Drosophila melanogaster: one gene and its partners. The protein of the gene in region 2 interacts with the protein of the main gene of each other region in a biochemical or structural test. Each region holds a gene or a part of one and is shown on either strand. Other genes may lie near its edges.

What was found.
Region 1: of the proteins of RabGGTb (region 2) and Rab11, one has a biochemical effect on the other in vitro, tested with the Drosophila melanogaster proteins (one study listed by BioGRID).
Region 3: of the proteins of RabGGTb (region 2) and Rab1, one has a biochemical effect on the other in vitro, tested with the Drosophila melanogaster proteins (one study listed by BioGRID).

Annotation. Positions count from the first base shown.
Region 1 is NT_033777.3:21,107,058-21,119,200, reverse strand, and holds Rab11 (Rab11), read right to left. Parts: upstream 7,794-12,143; 5' UTR 7,386-7,793; coding exon 7,346-7,385; intron 5,256-7,345; coding exon 5,134-5,255; intron 4,449-5,133; coding exon 4,100-4,448; intron 3,951-4,099; coding exon 3,817-3,950; 3' UTR 3,055-3,816; downstream 1-3,054. Other genes in the region: Bdbt (bride of doubletime), read left to right, coding at 417-1,277; ppan (peter pan), read right to left, coding at 1,346-1,605, 1,657-2,084, 2,141-2,505, 2,568-2,897; rtet (tetracycline resistance), read right to left, coding at 8,494-8,585, 8,644-8,949, 9,007-9,182, 9,476-9,549, 9,613-9,954, 10,151-10,594; Sec15 (secretory 15), read left to right, coding at 11,308-11,383, 11,448-12,143.
Region 2 is NT_033779.5:2,872,999-2,882,270, reverse strand, and holds RabGGTb (Rab geranylgeranyltransferase subunit beta), read right to left. Parts: upstream 3,160-9,272; 5' UTR 3,008-3,159; coding exon 2,392-3,007; intron 2,228-2,391; coding exon 1,800-2,227; 3' UTR 1,563-1,799; downstream 1-1,562. Other genes in the region: NTPase, read left to right, coding at 1-889, 951-1,043; Sbat (sabbat), read right to left, coding at 3,313-3,678; Prx6a (peroxiredoxin 6a), read left to right, coding at 4,134-4,407, 4,468-4,660, 4,882-5,083; CG8814 (uncharacterized protein), read right to left, coding at 5,909-6,883; Ifrd1 (Interferon-related developmental regulator 1), read left to right, coding at 8,599-8,635.
Region 3 is NT_033777.3:21,263,667-21,274,050, forward strand, and holds Rab1 (Rab1), read right to left. Parts: upstream 5,395-10,384; 5' UTR 5,128-5,394; coding exon 5,105-5,127; intron 4,129-5,104; exon of another isoform or gene 4,075-4,128; coding exon 3,954-4,074; exon of another isoform or gene 3,892-3,953; coding exon 3,844-3,891; exon of another isoform or gene 3,788-3,843; coding exon 3,560-3,787; exon of another isoform or gene 3,480-3,559; coding exon 3,282-3,479; 3' UTR 2,363-3,281; downstream 1-2,362. Other genes in the region: AP-2sigma (adaptor protein complex 2, sigma subunit), read right to left, coding at 5,743-6,018, 6,079-6,228, 6,285-6,287; Idi (Isopentenyl-diphosphate delta isomerase), read left to right, coding at 6,550-6,864, 6,921-7,376; CG3308 (uncharacterized protein), read right to left, coding at 8,289-8,427, 8,489-8,770, 8,821-9,169, 9,675-9,864.

The DNA of each region.
Region 1 (12,143 bases), on a different chromosome or scaffold from region 2:
GCGGAAATGGGTAATAAAAAGTTTTACTAAAGAGCCATGAGTTACAATAAATGCATGCTAACATTTTTGTTTTGGAATAGAAAGATTAAAACCACTAGAATTGAATTGGGCGGTTTTATAATATTATATAACCGCATATTATTGTATTTCCTAAGCTCTGAAAATTTTCATATTGTTGCCCAATTTCTCCTTCGCACTCCCACCAGCTGCGTACAAGGTATCTGATAGTCGACTAACTCACTTGTTTTGCAAATAGATGCGTAGTCCATGCATTACATTTATGAACTAGTGAGAACAAAGTATTTTTTGTGAAATTCGCGATAGGTACATTTTTGACGGTTTTCTGGTCACATCGCCAAATCGCAAACTTTGCTTACTGCTAAATTTCGAAGCTCCCAATTTGCAAATATTCCAAAATGGACTGGTACGTGGGCACAGAGTGGGAGGACAAGAACCGTGGTCTGGCCAAGAAGGTAATTGGCCTCCAATTCACCGAAATGGACAAGCCCACGATAATCAGTACGGTGGAATTCAGTGTCAACAAGAAAGCCACCAACTTGGGAGGACGACCTAGCAAATATTTGGTCAGCGATGAGTCCGCTACGTATCCTCAAAAGCACAGCCTGGAAATGGGCACCAGCCTGACCGCAGTGGACTGCTACTTGGAGCTGCTGCTGCAGCAATTTGTGCCGGGTGAAACGGCAGCCTGTAGCATCACGACCAAAACCGGCGAACGAATAGAATTTGAACTGAAGCTGGAGAAAATTGTGAAGAACACTCAGGTGGAGAAGCTAAGCGCTGCAGAGATCTATGAGGTGGCACTACGTCTCAAGGAAAGCGGCGTGGCCACCTTTAAGACGTTCCCGAAATTCGCCTTTGATTACTTTGTGCGTGCCGCAAAGTTGCTGATCACCTACAAACCCTTCGATAAACTGACCAAAAAGACCAATGGCATCAACGGCCAGGCGGTGGAGGAGCTCTTTATTCAGATACAGACCAACCTGGCCGCCTGTTTGCTGCAGGAGAAACGCTATGAGCATGTAATCTACCACACGCAGTTTGTGGAGACGGAGGAGAGTCCCAGCGAGAAGAGCATCTACCGGCGTGCACTCGCCTACTATCACCTGAAGGAGTTCGCCAAGGCGCAAGCCACCATCGAGCGAATGCCCAACTACGAGGAGAAGCGAGAGTTCAGCAAGCTGCGCGACAACATCGCTGTTAGCTGGAAGGATAGCAAGGCCCATTACAAGGAGGTGGTGCAACGTATGTTTAGTTAGTTCCCATTGATAACATTGCGATGTCGTGTTAACCAATGGTCTTTATAAAATAGCTTATGTTAAATGTACTACTTTGATTTTCTACTCTTTCTGTGGTCAAACTTGGCGCGCTTGTTTTTGGGATCGAACTTGGCTCTCCTGTTCTTGGGGTCGAATTTGTCCTTCTTGTCCTTGCGATCGAACTTGTCCTTACGATCGTACTTGTCCGTGCGCTCAGATTTGTCATTCTTGTCCTTGGTATCCAGTTTAGCGCGCTTGTTCTTGTATTTCATTCCGCCGCCCAAACTAGGCCGCTTTCGGGAGGACTTCGCTTCCATTTTGAACAGTTCTGCAAAGGAAACATTAGTTTATATTCTACGCAGCATGTAGCACAACTCACCTTCGTCTGGTTCCTCGCCGACTTCCTCCTTGTAGTACTCTGCATCATCCTCGGGATCGCTGTCAGTCCGTCCCTCTGCCGCCCTCTTGGCAGCCCATTTTTCATCCTTCTTAAGCTTCAAGTTGCGGGCACGGTTCTCTGCCTGCTCCTTCTTGCGCTGCTCCTTCTGCTTTCGCTTCTTTTCGACCAGCTTGCGCAGGGTTTCCTTTTCGTCCTCTGTCTTGACCACATGGTCGTGATACAGTACTTCGCCCGTCAGAAGGCCCTCTTCTATTTTGATGAGCTGCATGGTTAGTCGAGGTCCGATCTCGTGTAGCTTTATGGAGCTCTTTTTGTCCTCCAAGTTGCCCTTGCTTTTAAGAGTCTGTGCCAGCACCACATGTGATTGCTCATCATCTTCGGCCTCTGATTCGGAGGCATAGCCGTCCCTGAAAATCAATATTATGATTATTTGATGGAATGAGAACAAACGGTCATTTCCTACTTGGTCACAAAGTCCACGACTTCGTTGCACTTGCCCAGATTGGGTACCGTTCCTTTGACGATTTTCTGGACCGCCCGCTTTAAGCCAACCGGCACCACCTGCACGGAGTAGTGCCGCATCTCGACCAGCTTCGTGTCCGGATTGTAGGAGAACAGGACGCAGCGACGAATGGTGCCGATATTAACCGTGGCCAAGTTAATTGAGGGGAACATGTTTTGGAACGTGGTGGCCATCAGCTTAAGGTGCTTGCCATCGCCACTGAAGTTGTTCATGATGACGAGCGGAGCGTGCTTGAAGTGATCGTTGTCAATCATCTGCTTTTTGCTTAGCGAGATCACATCTCTGGCCAGGGTGAACTGGTGAACCTGACAGAGAATAACTTCGCGGTAAAATATCCAGTATAAACTAAGCGATGAAACAAACAAACCTTGAAAGTCAGGGAAGGACCGCGCGGCAAGCGGACCACTTTGAAGGACAGCTGCGTGGAGGCCTTGTTGAAGATGCCCATGTGCGAGACGTGGAAGAAGCTGCTCAGGCTGACAAAGTCCTTGATGCGGTTCATCCGCTTCTCGCGCAGATTGCTGGCCGTAAAGGGCTCCATAATGCGGCGGAAGTCCAGGGTGAGGTCCGTGATGTACGGACAGGCGAGGCCGCGATGGATGACGAAGGAGTGCGGCGCCTCCACGATCTCGCTCGGCTCGCTGGCCTTGAAGGCCGCCGTGCGCGTCTTCGGATGCACTTTCTTCTTACCGCCCATGTTTCAATGTTTTTGTTCACTTTTCTCCCGCACGTGTATGGATCAGTGTGGCTGCTCGCGCGGAAAATACCAAACACCCACTCCGACGTCTGCCTTTGGTCACTCTAATCCCATTTTAAATTTCGATTTTCCGCCCAATTGAAAGCACTTCTGTTTTATTTAAATTATATTTATTTAATCACACTTAACATAGCAAACACAAATGATGTTATTTCGTTTCATTTATGCATTTAAAGTTTTACAACTGTTTTTGTTTGATTTCTCTTTATCAGCTAGTTTTACCAAGTGGCCAATCGTTTAAAATGTTGCGAGAAACCGAAGAAGAAAATCCGAGCTGCAGTGCTGTGGTAATGAATTTGCGTTTAAGTCGAAGAATTTCCGGTTGTTTGTTGTTGTTCTGCTCGCGAAATTACAACTATATATTTATGTTGCGAAAAATTAATAATATTAATATTTTAATATTAGCATATATGTATATTTATATAAATTATAGTTCTACAGCTTAAACTGAATTTGGAGTGTTTAGTTTTGCTTGCTTTCTTTCCGCGGCGGTCGATTTATGCGATACTCATGGATCTGTATATATATAAAACTTCAGTTTAAACCGCAGTTAACTACAGCCGGATGTTGTTGCTTTCGATTCTTTTGCTGCTGCTGCTGCTTCTGATGATGGTGGTGGTGTTGGTGGTGGAGAGTGGCGGCTCAGATTTGAATTATCAATTTATGCGCACATGACAAACTGTGGCTGACAAACGCATAGACATCTTGTGCGGTCCATCGGGTGTACGCTGCTCCTGATCTTGGTGTTGCAGTTCTGGCCGCTGCTGCTCCTCTTGTAGTCGTAGTTGTAATTGCTGTTGCTTCTGTTTATGTTGCTGTTCTGGCGGTTGCGGGGAATAGCGAAAATTGCTTGGGGCGGTCACTGACAGCACTGTTTGCGCACATCGGCGGTGACAGTCGGCTTTACGTCGATGGGCTCCACGTTCGACGGGCGGATGACGTCGCCTTCCGGCGGATCTCTGATCTGTTTCTGCGACACAATGCGATAGATCTCTGAAACGGGATTACGAGACATCATTAGTCGTGCTTCGTTATCATTAATCTATTGACTTTCAATGAAGCGTTTAATCTACAGTATTTAAATATTCTTAAACGATCGATAATTTGAAAGCAGACTAGCTAAAATATCCTGAACGACCCACCTGTGAGTATGTTCTGGAATGCCGTTTCAACGTTCGTTGAGTCGAGGGCCGAGGTTTCTATGAAACTCAAGCCGTTGCGCTCGGCAAACAGCTTCGCCTCGTCCGTGGGCACGGAGCGCAAGTGCCGCAAGTCGGACTTGTTGCCCACCAGCATGATGACGATGTTCTGGTCGGCATGGTCGCGCAATTCCCGCAGCCACCGCTCCACGTTCTCGTAGGTCAGATGCTTGGCAATGTCATAGACGAGCAGGGCCCCCACGGCACCGCGGTAGTAGGCAGAGGTGATGGCGCGATAACGCTCCTGGCCGGCCGTATCCCAGATTTGCGCTTTAATTGTTTTGCCATCGACCTGCGTTGGATGCACAAGAAGGATGAAACAAAGGACAGCATTAGAATGGTGCCAGTAATTGGCAATTTCGCCACGAAATGCCTGCGGCGCATTCGCTTTGAAAATTAATATACAAGCACTGGCATTCAGTATTCACACATAACCAACATAAATTAGAGCTTATGGATAAGCTTTTAACTCTAGTAAGAGAACCCAATTTTTGAAATTTCTTACACTAGTTAGAAAAAACGCAAGTAGCGTAAGTTATATTCATTGAACCCATTTGATATACTAAATATTAAGATGACCTACTAAGCTACTTCGAAAAGATGGCACAAAGTATTGTTTAACACAAATCCTTATACATACGTAATATATAATTGTTATTGACCACATAAATTTATTATTTCAGCACAAGTGACAACTATGATGTCAACATTTTGGCTAATCCCGTAGGATGGCTTTTGAAATTATGCAAGAAAGCCAATTGGCAATCCATTATTTAGTGAAATTCTCGACACTTACTCAAATTGAACAAACTTTTCCCCCCAATTTTCCGATAGACGCCTCAACTACGTGTCCTCCCACCGAAACGCACACGCAAGTTCACCCGTGACTTCCCCCACTGTGGGTGCGGTGCGGTAGATGTGTGGGGGTGGAGCTCCATGGGCCACTCCACCCTCGAATTCTTGGCCAGCGTACTCACCTCTATGCTGCGCGTTGCAAACTCAACGCCAATCGTCGACTTGGACTCCAAGTTGAATTCATTGCGCGTGAAACGTGAGAGCAAATTACTTTTGCCAACACCGGAGTCACCGATAAGGACAACTGCAAAGGATTAGAGGGAATTAGTGACATCGACATTGGCATTGGATAATCGAAGACCCCCAGTTGCATAATTTATGTGGGTGTGTGGTGTGGCGTGGCGTGGCATGGCCCCTGTCTTGTGTTTTACGGCCGGACAGAATGGTCGCTGGTGGCCCGGCTAGGTCATGTCCTCCTTTCGCCGCTGGCACGGCGCACCAAGGTCAGCGAGTACATAAAACCGCCATGCTCGGGGGATTTCAGGCCATGGAAAGAAATGTTTTATGATTGGGCCAGTCGACGTTAGGGAGTTCGTGTTATTGTGCTTCATTGCCGATAGCAAACATTTCTTGGATAATTGAGTGGCGGATATTTGAGGGAGCAAACAAGCATCCCAAGTTGATATGCTACCCGATAAAAACTATCCACTGACCTTTTTACGACTCCATTTCTTTTTGATAAACTTTCTTATGTGCGGCCAGAGTTGTTGGCTATAATATATATTAACTGATATCTAGACACTGTGTTTACTGACTGTCTGTCTATTAGTTTCCATTTTTGACACCCTTTTCGGACATTGTTGATTCAGCATGTTTGCTAATCCATTCAGAAAACAACAACTATAACTCATCAAACACCTTTTCGCTCTATCGCTATGGTCATCGCTGCACGGAGAAAATTCAAATAGTAAAATGGTATCATATGAACACTGATTCTTGAGTTCGAAGTTTCGATTGCAATGCCATTAAGATAGGAACTAAATATTTGAAACGACTTTTGAGCTAAGTCCAAGTTTTTGACTTAATTTAGATAGCTAAATTAGAGGGTATAGGGTTTTCTTTCAGTGTGGACAGCTGGGAGCAGCGTGGTTACAGTTATCAGCGAGAGAGCTGAGTCACTTTGTTTTCTACTCTCTTTCTCAGCGCTAATAACGATCTTTAAAGAGAAATTGCACTTAGTTAAGCGGATGCGATGAGAAATTAAAAGGGGAGGAGTGGTAATCGACGGTCATTACTTAGTAGTGGGATTGGCTCGAATAACCCGAAACGGCCCATTTTCAGTTATGTGATTATGCGCTTATCGGTGAGTGGAATTCTTCAGCAGTTATTGGCTGTGAGTCATGTCCGTTTAATATTGTTTCATGTGTGAAATTTGAGGCCTCATCATGCATACCGCACACTGACGCATTATTATGATGACTTTTTTTTTAACTTTTTGTATACTTGACCCAAAAAATACGGCAGATTAAGTTTTAAATATTTTTTTAATGACATTCAACAGTTGCTCAGCTGTGATAGCTAGCAGAGATTTCCAAGCGCAATTGGAATTTATGGCGTAGTAGCAAACGAAGGGAACAAAGAAGAGCTGAGAATTTGTGACCTCTGTTCATACATATCTACACATAAACGGGGGAAGATGCGGGATAAAAGTCTTGTTTTCTACCTGCAAATACATCATTTTGCTCTACTGTGCTTCAAACTTTCAATCGAGAGCGGGTGAAAAAGAGAGCGCGCGTGAGAGAGAGCTACTAAACGAAGTTACAAGAAACCATTGCAAAAGCCAGCTGTACAGAAATCATAATACCCACACTCTCGCTCTATTTACTGGATATCTAATCACTTTAGCATTTCGAGTGGGTGGGCAAGCCTTAAACCTACTTTACAGAGCGAGCGATTATAAATACGATCTGCTTGGCTTTTGTATGCAACGTGGCGAGACCAACGGCACTGTAATGACAAAACAAGCAGTTAACGGCAAAGTACGCGTACTCCAGTCCGAAAGAGTACCCCAAAGAGATGGAGATAGGCAGAGTGAGAGCGGGAGAGCCACCAAAGGGCATCCAACTGCAGCAGTAGCAACAACAACAAACTCGGGGGGCGTACTTCTTATTTTGGGAATTAATGACACTCACGCAAACAAACACACCACATACCATCACATGAACTTTGGGCTCTTCGAGTGCACTTTTTGTTATTCTCCAATTAGTTTCAATTAGTGCTATTGAACCACTGTCTCTCACGGCAGGGAGAGGAGAGCCTGGAAGTGCGGCTCCTCCCCTCCTGATCAACCTTCCGCGATCTTCGACCAGCGGCTAGTATCATGTTTATAATTACCTTTGAACAGATAATCGTACTCGTCTTCTCTTGCACCCATTTTGCTCAATTTGTTTTGCTATCGCTCGCTCGGTTCGATATCCTTTGGAAATCCAGTTCCGTCCTTTTTGTTTTGTGTGTGCGGGTGCTAAACGAAATCCAATAATCCCTGCGCGCCGCCGATTTCTTTAATGCGTTTGTCGTCGGCTCACACACTTTACACTTTTATTTGCAGTTGTAGTTGTAAAGAAAGAGAAAAGTGTATATATCAGTATTTAAGTGGCGAAATCGGTTGCTCTTCCAGCTCGGATGCGTTCGAAAATGCTGGCAGGACTTTTCCGGCAATTGGAGCAGTATTAATTGGAGATTTGCAGCTGCTTGCAGCGCATTTATTTGCAATTTTCTCTTACACGAAAACTTAGTCACTCCCAATAACGTCACGTTATATTTCCAACGAGACTAGAGATGTTGAAAAATATCGGTACATCGACATTATTTCGGCGATACTTATCGATTTTCTTAATGGCGATGTAAGGCGATAGTACAATGTCACTTCTATTTTTGTTTATATGAACATTGTTTTATACTCAAAAGCTTTAGAATTAGAATTAAATTTTTTCATAATTAAAACACATTAGGTCTAGAAAATAAATCTAATGTTTGTTTCCTATTTAAAAAACTTATTTGTTTTATTTTAAAACACCAACATACTTATATCATTATCGATGTTTTCACATCGACTTGCATCACTAAATTAACGAGATGGATGTTTTAGAGTTACCAGACGGTACGACGAATTATCATGAACTGCTCTCGTTTCATCCCGACAAGCCTATCGTATTTTAAAAAAGCTGAACACATTTTCTAGGGATTATCCCTAGCCCATTTAACTTATTTCCAACTCAAAATGTCTTGAATACTTAAAACGTTCCAACCTAAACAGAATCGTTCTCCCAGTAGCAGTAACTGTTTCTAATATTATCTTATTAAAAAAATTAATTAAATAGAAAACATTTCGATCCCAAGTAAAAACCCCCTGCTTACAAATCAGAGTAAAAATGTGTTTATTTTAATATAAAATACTTGTAAAAAACGATAAATTAAGTATAATGTGCAGCTAATACTTCCGTTGATCTCTAGTGAGTTTAAAAACTCTATTCCTATTGCACTTAAATGCGAGCGCGTTGCAAGGCCATGGCTGGATAAATGAGCAGAAGTCCGCCGGCTATATAGGTGATCCTGGAGCCAACGCACCAGAAGGCTATTAAGGATTAAAGAGTTTAGAAAAGGTATAATCCTAAGACAGCTGAGGAGCTCACCAATGCATCCCACCACGGGGCCCAGAGCTCGAGCCAAAGCTCCCAGTGAGCGGAATATGCCCAGTACTGAACCCTTCTGGTCATCGTTTCCGTATTTGGATACGAGGGTGGTCAGACAGGTGACAGCGAAGGCTGTGGAGATTGCGAACAGGGTCATGCCGGCGTACAGCATCCGACTGCCCTCGGCTAGGCCGACTACTACGAAGGCGGGTACAATCAGGTACAAACTGAAGATGGCATAGCCTTTGATCTTCGCCTCGGGCAGCCGTCGGACCACCGATCCCTGCAGCAAAGTCATGATTACACCTAGAAAAAGACACAAATTTGATAGGGAATATTGTAGATTATCAACTTGCTCCATACCCGTTGTCAAAAACATCTTCGCCTGATCCATCGAAGTGTAACCGAATTTGTGGTACATCAGAAATGTGACGGTGAACTCCAAGCCGGAATACAGAAAGAGATACAAGAAGTATACCAGGCCAATGGATCGCAGTGCCGCAATGTCTTTCTTAGGCACATTTTTGATGGCAGCAAATCTGTCAGTGGGAGAATTCTTTTGAAATATGATTGTAAAATCCAGACATAATCATTGGTAATAATCTTCTAGCTAACTGGACTCAATTCCCTGTAACTACAATTAATCAAAAGCAATCTAGAATTTACTAACTGATAAGGCAATCAAACAAACGTGTCCGAGAACCCGGCATGATAATAGTGTCTATCAAACCAGTCAGGCAAGTCCGGGTGGCTTGCAGTTCTCACCGTATGACGATTTCGATTTGATCACACGACAGGTTTTCGAGACATGCTAATTAAAACATTGAATTACCTAAATATGGCCGAAAAATTGAGCAACTGCAGGCCATAAGACAGTGCAGATGATATCTCCTTAACACGTTTCTCCTGCGAAAAGGTCAAACAATTAATGGTGTTGGGAATATATTTAATTTAGCCAACCGTACGCACCTTGGGCAACGTTTCCCGCAGACAGCAGGCCAGGACCACAAGATCTCCAACTGCCAGGCCAAACGCCAGCAGAGAGGGCAACACAAACCAAGTACTTCCACTTTTATCGGAGAATATGGCGAACAGGGCTCCAATCATGGGCCCCACAATAAAGCCCAGCGAGAAGGCCACACCCACAAGGGCCATACCGCGTCCACGGGTCTTAACGCTGGACACATCCGTAATGACGGACATGCACAGGGATATGTTGCCCTTGCTAATTCCGCCCACGAAGCGGGCCAAAACGAACAGGGCAAAGTTGCTGGAGCAGGCCCAGATCAGATAGGATAACGCAATACCACTCTATAGATGAAAGAAGACGTAGCTTAAGGAAGGTTTACTTATTTGTGGCTTAGCTAAGGAGTTTGAATTTGACGAATTCCACGCTTTTGGATTGAACTCGTAATAGCATGAAATGTTGACCAAGCCAAAAAGAAAACTAACAAGACTAGTTTAGTGTTTAGTGCACATTAAAGCATTGAGCACTGGGATTACCTACCGCACAAGCCAGCAGGACTGGTTTCCGTCCGTAGTAGTCCGAGAGTCCTCCGACAATCGGACTGGCCACGAACTGCAGGAAGCTGAACATGGAGCCGAGAAAGCCTCCGAATAGCACCGATATGTAGCGATCCGGGGCGCCCAGGAGCTGCTGGAACCAGCGCACCCGATCCGTGAGCACGGCATACAAGCCGGAGCTGTCGTTCTGGCGATAGTGCTCCAACAGCGAGGGCAGCAGCGGCAGAATGATGGTGAAGGCCAGTAAGTCGAAGAGCAGCGATACGAAGATTATGTATATCATGGGATCACTCTTCTCCGGCTTTCCATTCTCCGATGCTTCCTTATCCAGCGCTTTATTGTTGTTGTGATGGTGGCTTCCGGTTTGGCTGTGGCTTTGCTTCTCCATGGCAGCGGTTCCATTGTGGCGACTCCGTAGGTCGGCCATCTTTGCTGATTTCGGGTGTTTAGCTTGTGCCGTGATTGCGTGCGTGTACGGGTGTTACTGCAACATAACTGTATCAACGGAACCACAACTCCACCGACAACTCTTGGCCCTCTCGAGAAGCGGCCAGCCAAAGCGAAGCCAAAGTGAAAGCTGAACAGCAACAGCTGTTCCAAGGCGGCCTATAACGAGCAGACGGCATTCCAACCTGTTGCTTGCTGCGGATATTTGAAATAAGGGCGCCAAAATGAGTTATTCAAACATCTGTAATTAATTACTTTTCTTATCAAAATTACCAACGAATATTATGTTGGTGAACATTACTAATAGCATAGGTTTAAGTTGTAAATATTTAATTAATTTATAAATATTTTACAAATCATTGTTTCCTGCTTAAATAGTTAAGAACCGGATTTTGATATACATATATAAATTAAGTTTATGATTCGGTAGTTTTCGCCTATTTGATTTATTTATTTTATTACAATCCTAGTGATAATATCTTTTTAAAAGATAATGCAGTCAGATATTCTCTGACACAACTTTGTATTATAATTTAAAACATACCGCTTAAAATTGTTATCGCCTAGTATCGAAAGTCAAACCTCGATAACACTTAGTAAATATTCGATATACCATACCGATAAGTCGGCGAAATAATTGCTCATTAAAGTTTGGTAAAAAGTTGTTTAGAAGAGAAAAAAGAGCGTTATAAGATGTCCAAAGTGACCGTGCAAGACATTGAGGCGGTGGACGACTACTGGGGACCAACATTCCGTTCGATCCTTGAAGGTGACTGCGAATAGAAGCAATTGGCACACTTTGTTTACGCCCATTTTCCTTTTTTCCCGGACAGGCAACAACACTAAGCAGATTGGCGACCAACTGGAGCAGCGGATACGGAGCCATGACAAAGAGATCGAGCGGATCTGCAATCTGTACTACCAGGGCTTCATCGATTCAATTCAGGAGCTGCTCCAGGTGCGCACGCAGGCCCAACAGCTGCACAACGAAGTGCATTCCTTGGACACGTCCCTTCGCCAGATCAGCGCCTCGCTGATTCAGCAGGGCAATGATCTAGTGCGGGCCCGTCAGATCGAATCCAATCTGGCCAGCGCCATCGAGGCACTCAAATCCTGTCTGCCCGCATTGGAGTGCTACATGAAGTTCACACAGCAGGCAAAGAACAAGCAGTACTACCAGGCGCTGAGAACTCTGGAGACTCTGGAGACGGAGCACCTAACGCGCTTGAAGACACACAACTACCGATTCGCCACCCAGATGCAGATACAGATTCCCATAATCAAGGAAAACATCCGTCGCTCTTCCGCCTCGGACTTTCGAGAGTTCCTCGAGAACATCCGGAAGTTTTCACCCCGCATCGGCGAGCTGGCCATCACACACACAAAACAGCTCCAAAAGCGTGATATCAACGCCATCATTGCCGAGCACATGCAGCAGATGAATGGCGGCGAAGCCGGCGGAGCAGGTGCTGGCGGGGATGATGATGGTGCCAACGTTAGTGCCCAGGATCTCATTGACTTCTCCCCCA
Region 2 (9,272 bases):
ACTGCTGCTGGACGAGGCCCGCGCCTTCATACCCAAGGAGCACTGGTCTTCCACACCGCTGGTTCTGAAAGCGACCGCCGGCCTGAGACTCCTGCCCGCCAGCAAGGCGGAAAACATTCTAAATGCCGTCCGAGATCTCTTCGCCAAGTCCGAGTTTAGTGTGGATATGGATGCCGTGGAGATCATGGACGGCACGGACGAGGGCATCTTCAGCTGGTTTACCGTGAACTTCCTGCTGGGCCGCCTGTCCAAGACGAACCAGGCAGCTGCCTTGGACTTGGGCGGCGGTAGCACGCAGGTAACCTTCTCGCCAACGGATCCGGACCAGGTGCCCGTGTACGATAAGTACATGCACGAGGTGGTCACGTCCAGCAAGAAGATCAACGTCTTCACGCACAGCTATCTGGGACTGGGTCTAATGGCTGCACGCCATGCTGTCTTCACGCACGGCTACAAGAAGGAGGATACGGTGCTGGAGAGCGTCTGCGTGAATCCCATAATCGCCAATCGCACGTGGACATACGGCAATGTGCAGTACAAGGTCAGCGGCAAGGAGAATGGCAAGTCCAGTGCCGAGCAGCCCATTGTGGACTTCGATGCCTGCCTGGAGCTGGTCAAGAGCAAGGTAATGCCGCTGGTCAAGCCCAAGCCGTTCACACTCAAGCAGCACGCGGTGGCCGCGTTCAGCTACTACTTTGAGCGGGCCATCGAGTCGGGTCTGGTGGATCCACTGGCTGGCGGCGAGACCACGGTGGAAGCTTATCGCAAGAAGGCCCAGGAGATCTGTGCCATTCCCAACGATGAGCAGCCCTTCATGTGCTTCGACCTTACCTTCATCTCGACGCTGCTGCGCGAAGGATTTGGCCTCAACGATGGCAAGAAGATTAAGGTGAGTCCTGGCGCACTTAACACAAATTGAACTCTCTAGTAACTCGTTTTAAATTGTGCAGCTTTACAAGAAGATAGATGGCCACGAAATCTCCTGGGCCCTCGGCTGTGCATACAACGTTCTGACTAGCGACGAGAAATTCAGTAATTCCTAATGCTCCTCCATTAGTCCGTAGTTGAAGACATAAATTTTAAACGGATTGTTAGCTGAAATTGTTTATAGAGTGCCTTAGACGTGCATCGAGTATACTACAATCACAACACACCGCACACACCGCACACACCACACACACACAGAACACACACTCGGACATTGTCCACAGCATATGTATGATGTGGTCGATTAATATTTGTTTGTGCTCTGCAAGATTCGTTTCAATTGCCTCTAATTGAGCTAACCCATACACGGTGACTACACTTAGCGTTTAGTTTGTAATTCCAATTTTGTGTGATTCGCCATATTTGTAATGCAGTTTTTTGCCAACTTCTTAACTAATTAGTCCCTACACTCGTATCGTATCCTCATGTACATAAATTTACACAATGATATGTATTTACCTAATATGTATAACGACCTAGACTACTAGCCGCAAACATTTCACACGGTTTTTCACACATGCAAATGTTAGTTTAGTTATCTTTGCAAATAAATCAAATGTTAACTGATCTGAATTAAAGTAAAATATTTGTTTATTGCTGATTTTCGTTCGCTATACAAAATATTCTATATTTAATAATAATAGAGGGGTAAATGCATAACGAAGAAAATGAGTAAAGAAAGGGTGTTCCTGCTATGGAATTTTGGTCTTTTTACAAATAAAACTAAGAAACGCTAGCGTGGGAATACGTCAGAGGTCTGCTGCACTACACATTGGCTACGCACTGGCTGCATGTGGAATCGATGAATCCCCTCATGGCCTCGGCAATAGTTGCGGCTTGATGCCCAGCCGGTCGATGATGTACTGCGGCATGCAGAGCGTTGGGTTGATGGCCTTCAGGCCGGAATGTCCCAGTAGCGAGAGTCCGCCGATGCCGAACAGCGTGTGGAATATGTCCGGCATGTTGCCAGTTCTGTCCGAGAAGCCACCGGTCTCCGTGTCCTGGCACGACAGTATGAACTGCTGCAGCTTCTCCGAGCTGATCCAGTGCAGGCGGCCCATGATGGTGAGCGAGGCGAGCACCCACCACGAATAGCATACATCCGGCAGCTTCTCGGGCCGTCCATTTAGCCCACCGGAGGGCAGCTGCCGCTCGCAGAGCCACCAGCCCAGTTTGTCCACGTCGAGCAGATGCAGGCGATGGGTCAGCGAGAAGAAGCCGACGCAGCAGTAGATGAGCCCTGCGGGTTATATGTAGATTAGTTTTTGGATAACATATATGAGCACCAGCTTTATGGCTAGCTATTTTTCTAGTATACTTTTTGTTCCCAGAAGATTAATAAGTTTAAATTGAAATGATATTGACTGTGAGGGCGAAAGCATGACAGGCGATGTGGTGACTCACCCGCATGCGACTCGGCGCCCGGCTTGGAACCGAATCCACCGTCCGTCTGATTGCAGCACGAGAGCACGAACTTGACCGCCTTCTCCACGTCGATGGTCTGCTCCATGCGGCCGAGCAGCGTTAGGGAGGCCACCGCACAGAAGCTGAACCTGGTGTCCACCTCGCCCCACTTGTCGCCAAAGAAGCTGCCGTCGGGCTGCTGCAGTCCGACCACGAATCGGACCACCGCCTCGCGGTCGATCTCCTCGAGGGCGTCGTAGGTGCAGAGGATCTGGATGGCCGACAGGGTGTACAGCAGGTGGGGATCGTGGCCCTCGCAGGGTGCGAATCCGCCCGTGTTCGGACACTGACAACGCTTCACAAACTCGATGATGGACTTGCGCTCCAATCGCTCCAGCTGGCCCATAATGTCCAGGGCAGTGGTGCCCCAATAGATGCCCGACATGCGCAGAAACTCGGTCATGCAGTACTCGTAGTCGTCCTCCTGCTTCCCATGGTTCTCGATGTACTCCACATGCTTCCAGAACTGCAGCTTCTGGCCGCCGCCATCCGCATCACCACCACCGCCGCTGTCGCCACCGCCATTTGAGGGCTTTACGAAGGTCGTGAAGTCCATCGCTGATTGGGCTCAATTGAATGAGTATCGGGTGGCTGGCAGATCCTCTTCGGCGCGCTGTTTCGCTTGATTAACTCTATTAATTGGCAGGAATAGTGCTGCGAGCAAACAAATAACTCAGTGAATCCAATCGAGCACAGCTGATTCATCTGCGCGATGGTTGGCAACGCGGCAGTGGCTTATCAAACAGCTGATCGACGCAGGGGCGTAGTGTGGAGGGGTTTACTATAACCCCATCCAAAAATAAAAATTAAACGTACTTAAATTTCAAATAGCTAGTTTATTTTATTCAAAACACATGCACACTATTGCACCAGCAGGCTGGACTGCGGATCCGGCTCGTCGATGCTTAGGGAGACTATGTGCTGGCCGGGAACCATGACGTTGCCCAGCAGGCGCGGCTCCTGGCCCTCCACCAAGTACTCGGCGCACATGGACAGCACGATGTTGGCGTCGCGGTCCGTGCAGTTGAAGAATCCCACCAGCACGCGTCCGTCCGTAATCACGATCCGAAGAACTCGACCCAGCCACTTCTGGAGCTTCCTGCGTCCCGGCGTCAAACTGGCATCGTTCATCTGGTGCGGGGCGTTCGTTGTGATGCGGAAGGGCTCCGGTGGTGTGCATGCGGGCGGGGGCATCACCTGCTGGCCAGTGATGCTCAGTTCTGTCATGGTTATATCCTCTTTGCTCAATTTAAACAAATAAATGCAAGAAATTCTCAGCTTTTTTTGTGTTTACACTGCGCGTATGTGTGATATAGTGTGCGTGTGTATGAGTAATGGCCAGGGATGCAAGCACGTGTAAGTGGTTCGGTTCACTGGTTCACTTTTTGAGCTCATAAATTCGAAAATATACGAAACACTCGTTTGCTTGTGTCAAAGAAAATACTTTAGATTTAAAACACTTAAAGGAAATGATTGCAAAATGAATGCACACAATGAGCCTTCTTTTTAACATCTTCATACGAAAACTAGTTCTTTTTATATTTGCATCCCTGGTCGAGCTGAGCTTATAAAGGTAACGGGCACCCTAGCCCAGTCAGCTGATTTGCATTTTGCGGCAAATTTTGTTTCGCATTTATCCAAAAAGCTCGTAATTCGTCTCTTGATTTTTTCAAATATCCACCATGTCCGGAAAGGCTTTAAACATTGGCGATCAGTTCCCAAACTTCACGGCTGAGACCAGCGAGGGTCGAATCGATTTCTACGACTGGATGCAGGACAGCTGGGCCATTCTGTTCTCCCATCCGGCGGATTTTACGCCGGTTTGCACCACGGAATTGTCCCGGGTGGCGGCATTGATTCCGGAATTCCAAAAGCGTGGAGTCAAGCCAATTGCACTGTCCTGCGACACCGTGGAGTCGCACAAGGGTTGGATCGAGGACATCAAGAGCTTTGGCAGTGGGTTTGGTCACTGATTTCTGGACAGGAATCGCTTCTAATTGGCGTTTCTGTTCGCAGAGCTGAGCTCCTTTGACTATCCCATCATTGCGGACGACAAAAGGGAACTGGCGCTCAAGTTTAATATGCTGGACAAGGACGAGATCAATGCCGAGGGCATTCCCCTCACCTGTCGCGCCGTTTTCGTGGTGGACGACAAGAAGAAGCTTCGCCTGTCCATCCTGTATCCTGCCACCACTGGGCGCAACTTTGAGTGGGTATTCCAATATCTAGCATTCATCATTATCTATAAAGTAATGCTGTAATGCACTTTAGCAAACAATCGTGCACTTAATCGCATTAGCAGATAATTATTTAATGAAGTATTATTGCTGAAAACTAAGTACTAACCTTGCATATAATAATGGAAGTTAAATAGGAACGATTTCAAGGTCAATTAATCCGACAAATTACATTTAACTATATCCTTTGCAGTGAAATCCTTCGAGTGATCGACTCGCTCCAGTTGACCCAAACAAAGAGTGTCGCGACGCCGGCGGATTGGAAACAGGGCGGCAAGTGCATGGTCTTGCCCACCGTCAAAGCCGAAGATGTTCCTAAGCTCTTTCCTGATGGTATCGAAACCATTGAGCTGCCCTCCGGAAAGAGTTACCTGCGGATCACTCCACAGCCCTAATGGATGACAAGCGTGCGCTCTCACTTTTTTTTTGCTTTATTACAAAAATTATAATTAACAACAAATAATGCACAATAAAGTATACGCTTACAACCGTATTTTCAGTAGATCGGCGCTTTCAGGTGGCTAAAACTCGCCTTCTGCTGGACAAAATTGCCAAAACATTCGACTTACGAACTAAATCAGATGGGGAATGTGACAAAAAGGTCGCGATTTGTGTGTACGAAATAAATATACATTCAATATACATATATAGACGTGTACAAAAGGGGGTAGAGATATTGCAACTGGATAACCATGGGGGTAAGTAAGGTATAAATAAGGCCAACTCTGTACAATAACTGAAGCGCTTTCTAGGATAGAAGAAAGCTAAAGACCAAGCTCGTGCCCGTAACCGAAGATAACTGAAAGGAAAATGTTTACATTGGATTAATTTTGGTGGCACAAACAGTATAAAGTTATTTGTAATAGTGACCATTCATTTAAACTAATAATTGGAAACACATGTTACTGATAATTAGTTTAAACAGTGGATGCTTGAGCACTTTCCCTTGCCCAAATACTCACAAGATATATTCCACAATCTGAGTTCGCATAGAGATCGTTACCTTGAATATGTTAATGAAATGCAAATATGTACAAAATAATGTATGATGTAAAAGCTTTCGCTACGAAACAGGTTCCCTATGCTCTTAAATTCTCTTGACTGCGGGAATACGTCTCAAATATAAAGTGGGAATGGTAACATATGCCTTTGTCTAGTTGCGTTGTACTTACAATTTAACTACCACATGTTCCGCCCTCCGCAAGTATAGCTTTCCTGCGTCAGTGCCTGCGCTGCGGATTGGACTGAAGCATCCGCGCGAACCGCCTCACCAGGAAAGGCCACAGGATGAGGACGGCAAACCAGAGCGGGGAGATGTTCCTGAAGGGCCACCAGGCGGGCAGTGATCGTGGCTGCGCCACCGTTCCTTTCGCTGCCTTTTGGCCGCTGCGAAGTTCGTTGAGCGACTGCTCCAGGCTGCGAACGCGCTGCTGCACTGCGCCCACATCGCTGTTCATCCGTGTGATAGCAGCCTGGATTTGACGCAGCAGGTCCGTGTTCTGGCCAATCGCCTGGGTCAGCTCGTGGCTGAGATCGTAGGGATCGTCGTACTCATCGTCCGAGGGATCCACGATGGCCACGCTGCTGTTGCTCGTAAAGTTGTGCGTGTCATGTTGTGTGTAGCTTGCTGTTGGCTTAGGTCCATAGCCATTGGTCAGTGGCGGCGAACTATGGCCATTCTCCTTAATCGTTTCGGATGTGGCCAGCGGTGCGGTGCTAGTCGCCTGAGGTTCCGGCTCCGGTTCGCCATTACAACTGGAGCCGTGCTGGGGACTGTTGGTGCGCGAGTGGAACGGCGAGTTGGGATGCGACTCGGCCAGCTCCTTCATGCCGGGCGAGACCAGCTCCAGTTCGTCCAGGCTGATGTTTCCCAGACTATCGAGGCTGCCCACAAAGTTCTGCACATTCTCCGTGAACGACATGGTCTCAATGATCTCCTGCAGGCTCTCCACATAGCGCTGCATCGCCTCCTCCTTGGTCAAGTGACGGTTATCGTTCCATGCCTGCCACTTGGCCTTGCCTACGATGTCCCAAAAGCCGGGCTTCTTGTCCACATCTGGTCTACCCTCGGTGGCCTGTTTGAACAGCCCGTAGAACTTGAGCATCATGCTGGTGCTGGGCTGGTAGGGGCCATTTTTGGGCAGACCCTTTATCACATTGACTGCCGCCTGGAAACGCTCCTCAATCGCCGCCATACCTGCAAGATTATCCCGCGATTAGCCAGGGCACTCGATCGATAAGATACACAGGTACGAAGGCTGCCATATAGAGGCGGTGCCAAGTTCACCTTGTCCAGGTGAACGTCGCTTACAAATTACCTAATTATTGTGTGCAATCCGCGGTGTTGCAAACCCCACTTTCGGCTCCCCCTTTTGTTGTTGTCGTTCGCTATTGATTCCGATTCCGAATCCGAGTCCAAATCCGCTGCTGGGCATTCATGAATTTTTGGGTGCGACGTTCGTGGATGCGCTGCTGTGGTGCCAAAGTTCGAGTTCTGAAGTCCAATCTTCTGAGCTTCGAATCGAATCGAGTCGGCTGGAGCTTTTTCTTAGTTTGGCCCCCGTTCTTATCGACCTCGCTGAGGAATTGTTGTGTGCTGCGCCAACCGCTGTCGTTCCAATCGAGTTGCAATCAAATAAAACTAAACAAAAACCCGAAAACTCTCTCTGCAAATCGCTGAGCGCGTACGTGTGAGTGTGTAGGTGTGCATGTGTGCGGGTGGCGCAGGGCTGCAACGAAAGTATCGATACAGGTGCAGAGTGGAGATGATATTTTTGTGAGCGCGAATATCGCGATTTAAACAAAAATAAGAAGTTTTTATTGTCCATAAATAAAATTATAAATTAGTATTTTGCGGAAAAGCATAGGACCAATCAATGAATTTATAAAGTAAGATTATTTAGTTTTATTTATTTCCAGCCACATTTAATTATAGGTAAATATAGGTATAGTAGGGTATAATAGGTATAGTATAGGTATAGTATAATTATAGGTATAGGCTTTATCGAAAGTCAACTATCGCATGAGCGCAGACTTCCATCTTCCATTGAATATACCGCTATTCATGGTATTTTCCAACGTTCGCGCATACGGTCACTCACTTTTTCATTTCGTAAAAATCAGCAATCGAATTAAGTGCTTAATTATTTGCATTATTTTTAGAGCTTTCCGAAAGCTGCCAACGTAAAGTCCGCGAAGCGCCTTCACTGGCCGAATCGGAAATAGCAAAATCGAAGCACCAGAGATCGAAAGACAGCGCATTCGATTCGATTTCACAATAACTGCGAACCGAGGGCGGAGTGGGAGTGTCTGCCAGCGCGGAGAAAAGTGAACGCATTGCAATTAAACATGAAATTTGCTGCAACGTCGACGGGAGTACGACATTTTTGTATTATCAACGCCAAGCAGCAGAGCCATCAGAATCAGCAGACTATATATAAGATACGGCCGCAAAAATCGCGATCGGAGTTGAACAATTGCAAACGGCAAAGACAGTCGTGTAGAATTGCCAAAAATTGGAAGCACCAAAGTTTTTGCATAGGTGCGTCCTGATCGGCAACGTTTCGGGTTAGAAAGACAAAGATTAAAAAATTGACAGCTCGGCTCAAGAACGCAATTTAATTTCCTAACCTAGAGCATCAAAATCAATAAATCGGAACCAACACGTGCGTTTCAGTAGTTGCCGCCAAAGCAACGAAAGTGTAGACATTTTCGCCGTTGTGTAGACTTCGACGCCTGTTCTCCACCTTTTGAGGACCCAGAACAGGAAAAGGACACTCGGCTACAAAGCATCTGTTTTTTTTGTGTTTCGTACCTTGTGTTTGAAACAGTAGGCTAAACAATAGAAACCAAAACGTCGTCGTCGAGTTCAAACAGCAAAATACCTGAACGACGCAAAAACAACAGCAACATGCCGCGACGCAACAAGAAATCAGCAGCAGGCAGAGGTGAGTCACAAAGAAAAGAGAGTGTGTGGGTGTGCACAGAAAAAAAATGCGAGGTTGAACGTATCCAAATGCGTATAATATATCTATTGGATACGAGTGTGAACTTCCAGCTGAAACAATTGACTTTATAGGCTTAAAATTAGTTATTTTGCCTTTAGTAGCAACATTTTGGGTTTAATTACCATCTTAACCTCATGGTTTTCTTGTTTTTTACAAAATAAACGAATTAAATCGCACATCTGAACAATAGACTTAATAGTATATCCCCACAAAAGCCGGCGAGGGTAGGTGAATTTTCACAGCTGCTTTTCGTTTGACCTTTGCATTAGTCATGCACTGACTAATGAGTACCGTGCACTGTTTGGTGTATTTCGTTGGCTTCCAAACGAAGGAAGCTTCGCTGCCTGCAACCTGTTTGTCAATACCCTCGAAATGAAATAATTATTTTCGTTTTGTTGCTGTGCTGGCACCAAAAGCTTCACGCGCTCAGCTGGCTGCGCAACAACAAGTAATCAGCGGTTCACTGAAAATATATATACATACGTATACATATGTAAATTTATACAGCTTTGCCCACCAATAATAACAATATAACCATAGTAATTTTGACAAAAATTCCAAATTATGTAATATAAAG
Region 3 (10,384 bases), on a different chromosome or scaffold from region 2:
AGGAAATCGGACAAATGTTCGTCCTCTGTAAATATACGTATTCGTACCATGCGCGTAGCTTTTTAATTTGTTTTCGTAGCCCTATGACGTAGACTCCCACTTTTGTAGAGTAAAAAGTAATAAGTAGCTTGAACCCACACCATCCTGCGAGTATGATGAGTATGAGCAGACGCTGCCGTTTCCGTTTCCGCTGTGTGATTAAGTTGAGTGCTTCGCCCCCGAAACTTTTCCAGTAGTTAGCCGTTGAGTAGCTTTTAAATATTTGTTTGTTTCCTGCCCGCAGCGCGATAAAACTTTGCAGACAGCGCTAGTCACTCTAGTCCCCGCTAAAACTGATAATATGATTCTTGCAGTCCCATCATCGCCATATCCACCTACAGCGTGGAACCCTACGGGGACGGAACCGATGCTCCCGTTTGCACCACCGCCGCCGATGGTTTCTGGTCGATCTTCTACTTCGTGGGCTGCATCACGGTGTTTTTCTTCCTGCCCTTCGGCATCCTGGTTCTTCTATACGCGGCCATCGCTTACAAGCTGCTCCGTCCCAACAACGCCTTCCACCGACCAACCTCCCCGCAGCCACAGCAGCCGTCCGGCGGAGCCACCAGTGGCTCCTCACAGGTGCCCAGCACCAAGGGTAACAGCCATCAACAAAGCAACGGGATGAGGAAGCATCGCAAGCAGGTAATCTTCATGCTGGTGGCCGTGGTGTCTAGCTTTTTTGTTTGCCTTCTACCCTTCCGGGCCTTCACCCTCTGGGTGATCCTGGCCAGCGCCGAGGATGTCGAGGGTCTGGGCATTGCCGGCTACTACAACCTGCTGTACTTCTCGCGCTTCATGCTCTACCTAAACTCAGCCATGAACCCGATCCTCTACAACCTGATGTCCTCCAAATTTCGCAGCGGCTTCTGGCGGCTGCTGCTCACTTGTCTGGGCCAACGGCCACATCACCACCATCGCCACCACTACCATCAGAGGCAGCATCCAACGGCAGGCGGAAGTGGGCGCAATGCGTCCACGCGACAGGAACAGGATGCCGAGGAAGGAGCTGCGCTGGCGGGAACGACCAGCGCCCGACATCCACGTCGCACACTCCGCCGCGAGGCCACCTTCTTGATCAACTCCATATCCACCTCCTCGGGTACGGATCGCACCACATCATCATCGGCGTGGCGCAGCAACAGTCTGTCCATTTCCGGTCTGAGCGAACGGGAGCGCGGCATACTGGGAGCCGCTATCATCGGCACAACGGCTGCCACCGTTACAACCGCCTGTCTGCAGGAGCGACGCGCCAGCAAGATCTGAATCCCATCCTAAATATGCATCCTTCGAGTCCCTGTCCACTGCCAGCAACCGTTAAAGTATTTAGTTGAATTCCAACAGCAAATAGTCATAGTTTTAGAAAAATTTTGTTGTAAAGACTGAAGTACCTCAGAAGAAGTCAATAAACGCAAGAGAAGATGTTTTTGAAAATCGAAACTAATTTTCTTCGGGCTTCGAAAAATTGAAGTTTGCAAGATTCGAAATAGCTTTAACTTGATTTTTAGAACAGAAACGAGTATGAACTTTTCATACGATCATTTTTATCGCACCTATTGTGATTTAATGGGAGATAGGAGGAGACCAATTGGGATATGCAAAAATAACGCAACTATTATTATCTTTGTATGTACGATTAATTTTAATCTCTAAAGAGTCAAAGTACTTCAATAATTTTACAAATCTGTCGGAGGGAATGTAAGCTTGCCCAAATCAAATGGAAGCTACAATCGTTGTCAGATGGAGATATTTTATGTTAGAAGGAATATCTCGGATACGAAATATTTAATTTAAAATTCCTTTTCATATTATTCTTTTTAAAAAATAATAAGTCCTGTATGTATACAATGCAATACATAAAGGTAGAGTATGTCCTAAAAAGAAAAATATCTTTCCGAATATATGTATATAATTTATAAAATAAGTGGATACATACATTTTTCGTAAGTATCCTAGAAGATTTGCCAACGTATCAGGTTTACAAAAATTGATTACCTATGTGCAGTTAACTTAACGGCAGTGCACTAACTAATCTGATTTGTGAAATAATGCAGATATAAAACATTTTTAAATAGAAATATATTTATACATCTGATTCTTCAACATCTAAGCACTCGTATAGAGTGCTTTGAATATATTCTAAATACATTGGCATGATCCAAGTTTTAAATCAGCCAAAAACTTGCTCCAAAAACAGGAAGATTCTACACAAATCGCCTCGCCCTTAAAGTTTCTGCCAAGTATTTGGGTGCGTGCGGATCAGTTCCGGCCTTCACTTAAGTTTTGCAATCTTTCCAAAGTCAAGAAATAAAACAAGTCGTTTGTAGGCATCGGTACAGATCGATTTTATTAGACTCAGGTCAAATTAAGATTCAAATTCGGGCGACAGTAAAAACCGAAACTAAAGTGTGTCCTTGATCCCAAACCTTGCAATTTAAATACGCACACGCAATAATTTTTATTAAACTTCATCGCTATGTCGTCATTATTACACTAATTATGTGCCTAAACAAATCCCTTGTGTCACACGATAATTCAAACACACAATCGCTCGACGTTAAATCTAAAAATGTTCGTTCGGTTTTGGGTTCGATTTACATAAAATTTCAAGTGACGATCACGTTCGCTAGAGATAATATGTTTAGAAAATTGTATTTGTAATTTAAACACATACATATGTATACATAGTGGTAAGTAGTAGCTGACACAGGACAAGTACAATTGCTCCTGCCGTCGCCTGCGCTCAATTAATGTGTAGTTAATAGTACATATTAGTTTCGGTATGGTTTCGCGCTGCTGTGATAGGTAACTTCTTATTGTAGGTTAAAGTAATATTAGGTTAATTGCTACACCGAATTTGCTTGCTTTGCACTACTTATGAACAGAACTGCGGAAATCAGAGTGACGGTTAGTATTAGGATCGATGTCCTTGTTGCTCGAGTTTAGTTGGGGATGTCTGAAGTCTGGATCGGGATCTGGATCTGGAGCTGGTTGGCTACGTACCTAATACATATTTGCTTAAATTGTTTATCGAATTGGATCACGGTTAGGATCATACAAACGCACTACTCGTCATTCCTCACCATTATTGTTATTACAGAATTAGTTATTATAATTACGATTTCGTGGATCCGCCATCGGTTTCGCTTGTTTTATTATTATTGTGTGGTTTCCGTTTTAATTTATTATATTTAAATTTTGTTTAATTGTATAATAAAATAATGATTCACAATCAGAGTTATTCAGCAGCAACCGGATTTGGTGTTTTCCACTGGACGTCCTTGATCGATTTTCACTTTGCTAGCGTTGTCAGTGGCGCTGGACGGCGGCCCGACGCGATTCTTGATCTCCGCCGCCATCGTCATGAAGGCCTGCTCAACGTTGGTGGCGCTCTTGGCCGAAGTTTCAAGGAATGGAATGCCTAACTGGGCGGCGTACTCCTGGAATTTTGGAAACAAAGACCCAGATTAGTATATACGTGCATCTATGATTCCCAGGACTAAACCAGCAATATACGCACCGCAGCTGTGGTGTGGTCGACTACTTTCTTGGTGGTCAAGTCGCTCTTGTTGCCAACCAGCAACTTGTTGACATTCTCACAGGCATACCGCTCGATCTCCTCCAGCCACTGCTTCACATTGTTGAAAGACTCCTGGTCCGTGCAATCGTATACGACAATGATGCCATGGGCGCCCCTATAATATGAAGACGTGATGGTGCGGAAGCGCTCCTGGCCAGCAGTATCCCACTGTAAACAGACTAATTAGCTCTGGACTAGATTGCCTCTGGCGTTTTTATGCTTACGATTTGCAGTTTAATGGTCTTTCCGTCGAGTTCTATAGTCCTGATTTTCTGCAAGATAAAGGTTTATGAGTCAGACATAAAGAATTTTCACAAATTTCCGGTTGGCTTACGAAATCCACTCCGATTGTGCTGATATAACTTTCTGTATATGTGTCATCGGCAAATCGCAACAGAAGACAGGACTTTCCAACGCCCGAGTCTCCAATAAGCAGCAACTTAAAGAGATAATCGCTGTGGATTTGGAGATAGTTAATATAGTTAATGTTATAAAATAGTTATATAGTTAATAAATTATAGTTAATTTAATAGTTAATGATATAAATTTGTGCTGCGATGTGGGAATAGTTCAGACCCTATGCTGAAACATATAAAACTTCAGAGAAATCTAAATAAAACTGATGATGCATATTTGCGATAGTGATATTACAAGACGAAATGTTTAAAATCAGAGTGTAAAAGGTTTAGTATACATTTAAAGGGAAATAAGTTGGATGACAATCAGTTAGAAATCATTGATTCAAGCAAAACATTTAGAGAGGTGTTTTGCGGGCATAGTTTAGTCGGGCAGATACTAATATATACATAAAACCGGTTTGGTTTAGGCTTTATCTTATCATGCTATGTCCAACATCAACCCCCAATTGCTGAATGATATGCGATAGTGTTCCAATCCTCTGCACACATGTATGCTGGCTATTGAAGGAGGCTTTCTGGAGAGTGCGAACCAAGATCGGTTCAGATTTAATTGCCTTGAGTGAGAGCGGCAATTAAGTAGCACTGGAATGGCCTTTGATTACGTAGCACTGCGCTGGGGGTGGGAAAGGCTCTCCACGCAGGTGACTCATCCGCCCGACTAGCGATTTGGCCCGTCAACTGGGATCTCGCTGTATATATGTGTGGACTTTATACATATGCAGATTCCGATGAGAGTTTCGAACGCGCTTTTCATCGCCTCGCCCGTGGGCACTACATTGAAATCCAGCTGAAACACACAGTTTTGGTTATGGTTTCTCGATTGGGTCGGTTGTTAGGTCCGAGTGTGTATTTTGTTTTTAGCAAATGGTCTGTTTTTTTGGAGTTGCCAACGAGGGCAAAAGGGAGTGGAGTGGGGCTGCTCGATAATGAATGGGAATGAAACGTAGCAGAAATGACGTCGCAGAAAAAATAAAAGAAACTATTTTCGAAGGCCAGAAAAGGAAGTGGAAGCCCAGTCACTGTTTTAACTCCAGATAACTGCGCATAATTACGTGTGACGACTTACTATTCCGGATTCACAGATGACATTTTCTGGCTTTTTCACAAGATTATATATTTGCCACGAACAAATATTCGATTTCTGGCCCTGGACTGGCTGCTGTTCAGAGTGTTTTTATTTGATTTGCGCGTTCCGAAATACTGGAAATCGACACGCACTCGGCTTGTGTTGTGTTTTGCAGTTCGCTATTGTAATTATTGCAGCGAATTTAAATGGGAAATACGTTTATTTCCACAAATTCGACGGCCGAGAACGAGAACAATGGCGACTGAAAAAATGACGAAGTGGCATTAGCGGCAGTGTTGGAAAATGCGCGGGGCCCTCTTCCAACCAGGGCTACACATTATCTTGTCTACGGAGGTGAGTGGGCGGAACCAGAGAAGAAAATATATGGATTATCGCCAAATGACCCCTAACACACCCCATATAAAAACAAAAATACTTAACTTTTGCATACAATCTCTTATGGTACATCATTTGTTTCTAAACACGGCCTTTAACATTTGAGTGTTTGCATAGAGAACACATTAAAGATAATAATAATAATACGCGTAATAGTATATGAAAGAAGATTCGATAGGCGGGTGTAGCGCCTGGGGGAATGCATCTGGCAGATCCGATATACATATGTATGAATTGGGCCGCTACTCCAGCGAATTTAGCGTGAGCAGCTGCTTGAGCACCTTCGTCTGCGAGGTCTCCCGGATCTCGCCCGCCAGGAACATCTCGTCCACCACACTGTACACCTTGTAGAAGTTGAAGACCAGATCCAGCTCGCACACATTATGGAAGTATTCGTTGAGCACCTCCACGAAGTTGTGAATGGCCTCCAGATAGCACAGGTTGTTGTCGTTTACGTCCACGCAGATGCAGAAGTACAGACCCGCATAGCGTCGGTAGACGATCTTGAAGTTGCGGAACTACAAAGGCAAAAGTGTGATAAAAGGGTGATTCAAAAGAACATATGGACTCGATCCCACCTCCACAAAGTTGGTGTGCTTGGCATCGCGCACTGTGACCACGGCATGCACCTCCTCAATCAGTTTCTGCTTCTCGTCGTCATCGAAGTTCATATACCACTTGGCCAGGCGAGTTTTTCCAGCTCGGTTTTGTATAAGTATGAATCGTATCTGGGCGAATGGAAGGTCAAATAGGGGTCTAAGCTTATAGCTGGCTAGTTGCTTACCATTTTTCGGGAAATTGGTTAAACCGTTTCCTGCTTATTTACAACTTTTTTTGTTTCGAGAATGGGGGCGAAAAACTGATTATGAGCAAATTGTGTATCACTGGGACCAGGGCTACCACTACTGTTCCGGAACAGCTGTTACCTCGTCAGTGTTGCAAACAGTTCGCGCAGAAAGCAAACGAGTTGGCAGACCCGCGCGCTGTATTACGAAGTTTCACTTTCATATTTGTTTTGGCCACCACTCCAAACTAGTCATTTACCAAAAATGTTGGCCTCTCGCTTGAATCTCCTGTTGCCCCGCGTATCCTGGCTGCGCGGTTGCTCAACGACAGCGGTGGGCCAGAAACATCAGCGCCAGGTGCCCACGGAGTTCGCCGTACACGATCCTCTGCAGGCTCACGCTCTAAAGGAACAGTGCATCCTGGTTGACGCCAACGACCAAGCCATTGGGGCCGCCTCTAAGGCAGACTGCCACCGTGTGCATCCAGAGACGAATGATGTTAAGCTCCATCGCGCCTTCAGTGTTTTTCTCTTCAATTCTCAGGGAGAGATGCTAGTGCAGAAGCGATCGTCTCACAAGGTGAAATTAAAGGGTAATCCCCTTATTACAAGGTCCATAATCCTCTGTATCCTTAGATAACCTTCCCAAACACCTACACCAACGCGTGCTGCAGCCATCCGCTTTACGAAATCGAACAGGAACGTCAGGAGCGCAACGCACAGGGCATCCGTGTGGCCGCTCAACGACGTCTCAACTACGAACTGGGCATTCCCACAGAGGAACTGCAGCCACAGGACTTTCGCTACCTGACCCGCATCCACTACGCAGACACGGGCGACGGCGTGTGGGGCGAGCACGAGATAGACTACATCCTGTTCCTGCAAAAAGACGTGACGCTGCGTCCAAATAGCAACGAGGTCAGTGAGGTGCGCTACTTGCGCCGCGATAAGATCGACGAGGCGGTGGCGAAGTTTAGTGCCCCGCTGACACCCTGGTTCTCTCTGATTCTGCAGCATCGATTGAAACTCTGGTGGGACAATTTGCACCAGCTGGAGCAATTTGAGGACTTGAGTAATATTCAGCGCTTTTAAGTGTGCTAACCAACCAAAAATACACGTAATGACGTCTAAAAGGGGCTTTTGTTCGTTTGGGTTTCAAATTCGCTTTATTCAAATGGAAAATAGTGTGTGTCTGTGTGCGGACAATGGGCACAAAGCGGATTTTATGCAACCTCCGCGGGTCGATCAGTTCAGTACAACGCTTTTGTATATGTAAATATAACAATACATATATAGTTTGTATAGGCGCACGATATTCAATATGTTTCATAGCCTAACTAATGTGTTTGTATGTTGAATATCAAATAACTAATTAGCTTTTAAAATGATCACATTACGTTTCCCATAATCATCATCATCATCGTCATCGTCGCAACAAGAATAAATATGTACAAAAGTACGACTACAGGCTAACAGAGACACAAACTAAAAGTATTGATTCTAGCCTAAATACAGAAGAAACAAACAAAAGACAAGCTGCAGCACTTAACATTAACATATATCGCTTCGGGAGCGAGTTCGAAGCGCGCGCTTCGAGGCGTGAAGTGCAGACCCCGGGCGAATCCGGAGTCGACGTTCACGAGGCACCACCTTGGCACCGTTTCTCTGGGTACTCGAGTAAATAAAGCAATTGCTCGGAAATTCCAACAACTTAAAGCTAGACCCTGCAAACTTCGATCGATGGTTTGCACCTTTACGGCAGGGGGTGAATATATAGTTATATACGTATACGTACTTTTCGCATGCAATGGGGGTCGTATTTGTGGATGTGTGTATGTGTGGGGATCAGGATAAGCGCTTCATCCTGAATTCGATTAGTGGTTAAGGCACATAGGTATGAGTCTATCGTGAATCTCAGGCTCGTTGAATCTATAGAGTTACGGGTTTAAAGCTGCTGGGTGGCACACTTTGTCGTTCAGTTCCATGTGGCTCCTTTACCATTTTCTAGGACAAGCCAAACAGTTTCAGGGCATTAAAGGCAGTGGCCAAAGCCACCTCGTCCGGGCTTTTCTTCATGAAGGCGGCTATCATCTCTACAATGGCGGGCAAACTGCACGGCTCGTTGCGTTGGAAGGTACAATATCTGGAAGGTATTTTGAACTAATAGAAGAGTGACCTATTTTGGTACTTTTTACTTCGCCCACCTGTGTAAGTACAACAATGAGCGTTCGGTGATACCAGTCTTCACGTGTTGCGGTAGCTTGGAAGCCCTTGTGTTTGGGTACATGAAAGGAGCATCCGTCTCCACCAGTAGTCTGTCTAGCGGCAATGTGCCGTCCTCCAGCAGGCGGCGAACGCCAGTATCCGATTTGTCCTTGCACAGGTAGCCCGTCAGGCTGATGTAGAACCTCCGGTCTAGGTACTTAAGCGCCTCCTCGGCGGTGCCCATAAAACCTCTGATGATCACAGGCGGAAGATTCTCGAATCTGCGCGGGGAACAATTTAAAGTTTTGTAAACCAAATCTACGGCTCTTACTTGTCTAGTATTTCGAGTAAATCGAGCTGAGCCGACCGCTCGTGGATCAGCAGAGGTTTATTTAGCCGGATGGCCAGATGCAGCTGCTTGGCGAAGATCTGCTTCTGGGCGTCCGGTTCGGAGAAGTCCCGCTGGTAGTCCAAGCCGCAGGGGCCAATCGCCACACACTCCTGCGCCTGGGCGATGTGCTCCAGATCGAACCACGTGGCCGGCTCTTCCACGATGGACTTGGAGTCGTGCGGGTGAATGCCAGCAGTTGAGTAGATTATGTCGGGATAGATGCGCGAAAGGCGCAGCGCTTCCTTGCTCGATTTGACCGAAGTGCCGTGAACCATTAGTTTCTGGACACCTGCAACAAGAAAGGCGGGAGAAAGTTAGTGCAACGTTCACTGGGCTACAGACTTGTGTACAAAAGAGAAAATATGTGACTTCTGTTTGCTTTCGATCAGATACTCTTATCAGCATTGTAATGTATCCCTTTAAGTAAATGTATTTAAAAAACAAATTTTTTGTTGAATATCAAATCAAATATGTAAAGAGAATTTATCTCTTACATATATTTAAATGTTTATAGTTTCCTTTAAAAATTTATCCTATGCAAATATTGTTGTGTTGACATCTTGGTTATTTGGTTTTTAATCTCCAGCTACGTTCCCATTGAATTTGTAATGCCATCTCCCAGGGCACATATGTACATGCATACATATATCAAAACACAGGCACACTTGTTGCTCGCCAATAGCCCGACCTTCTGGCTGTCTGGGTGTTTTCGCAGCCTCGCCCCAGAACGAAGACACTGCCCGGGTCTTATTAATTATGCCTGCACATGTAGTATCTGATGCTGGCATACAAACCTGCGTCTCTGGCTCTCTGCACCACGGAATCCAGATCACGGCTATACTTCTTGTTGGTCAGATTCGCACCCACGTCGATGACGATCAGGTTCTCAAAGCAGTGCTTCATGTCCAATTCCAGCTGATCCTCCAGCAGCGGGGCCACGGGGGCCACCACCGTCTCCTGGGGCGTCTGTTGACTGGGGTCCATGTTCTGGATCGGAATCTTGGATCTATTATCGACGAAAATAGCTTATGACGCAGGCGATGGATTGCTGGGCTGCGACTGTGTGCGTGGGTAATTCAATTAGCTTGTTTTTGAGGGCGCAAGGAAACGCGACGGCGGTGAAAGCCGTGAAATGTGGATCTACTGAATTTGTTGGAATTTGGAAGAGTTGACCAATTCGGCAATCAATGGTCTAAAAGTTGAGAAATATTAATCTAAAAAACAATCCCGACACGAACTACAACTGCTGGCTAGAGTTGAACAACGTCTGCAGAACGGGTCAGTGCAGGTACTACACTCTGCATGCAATCGATAGTCGGAATCGATACGTAGCACCAAATTATATCGTGTTTGAATTTAAATTGTTATCAAAATAAATATTATGTAATAAAATTCAGTCCAATTATTTGATATAAATATATTTGTTTCATGTATATAGTAGAATTCCGATCATCAATAGTAACATCTTAAGACAAATAATTAAATATTTCACAATACCATACCA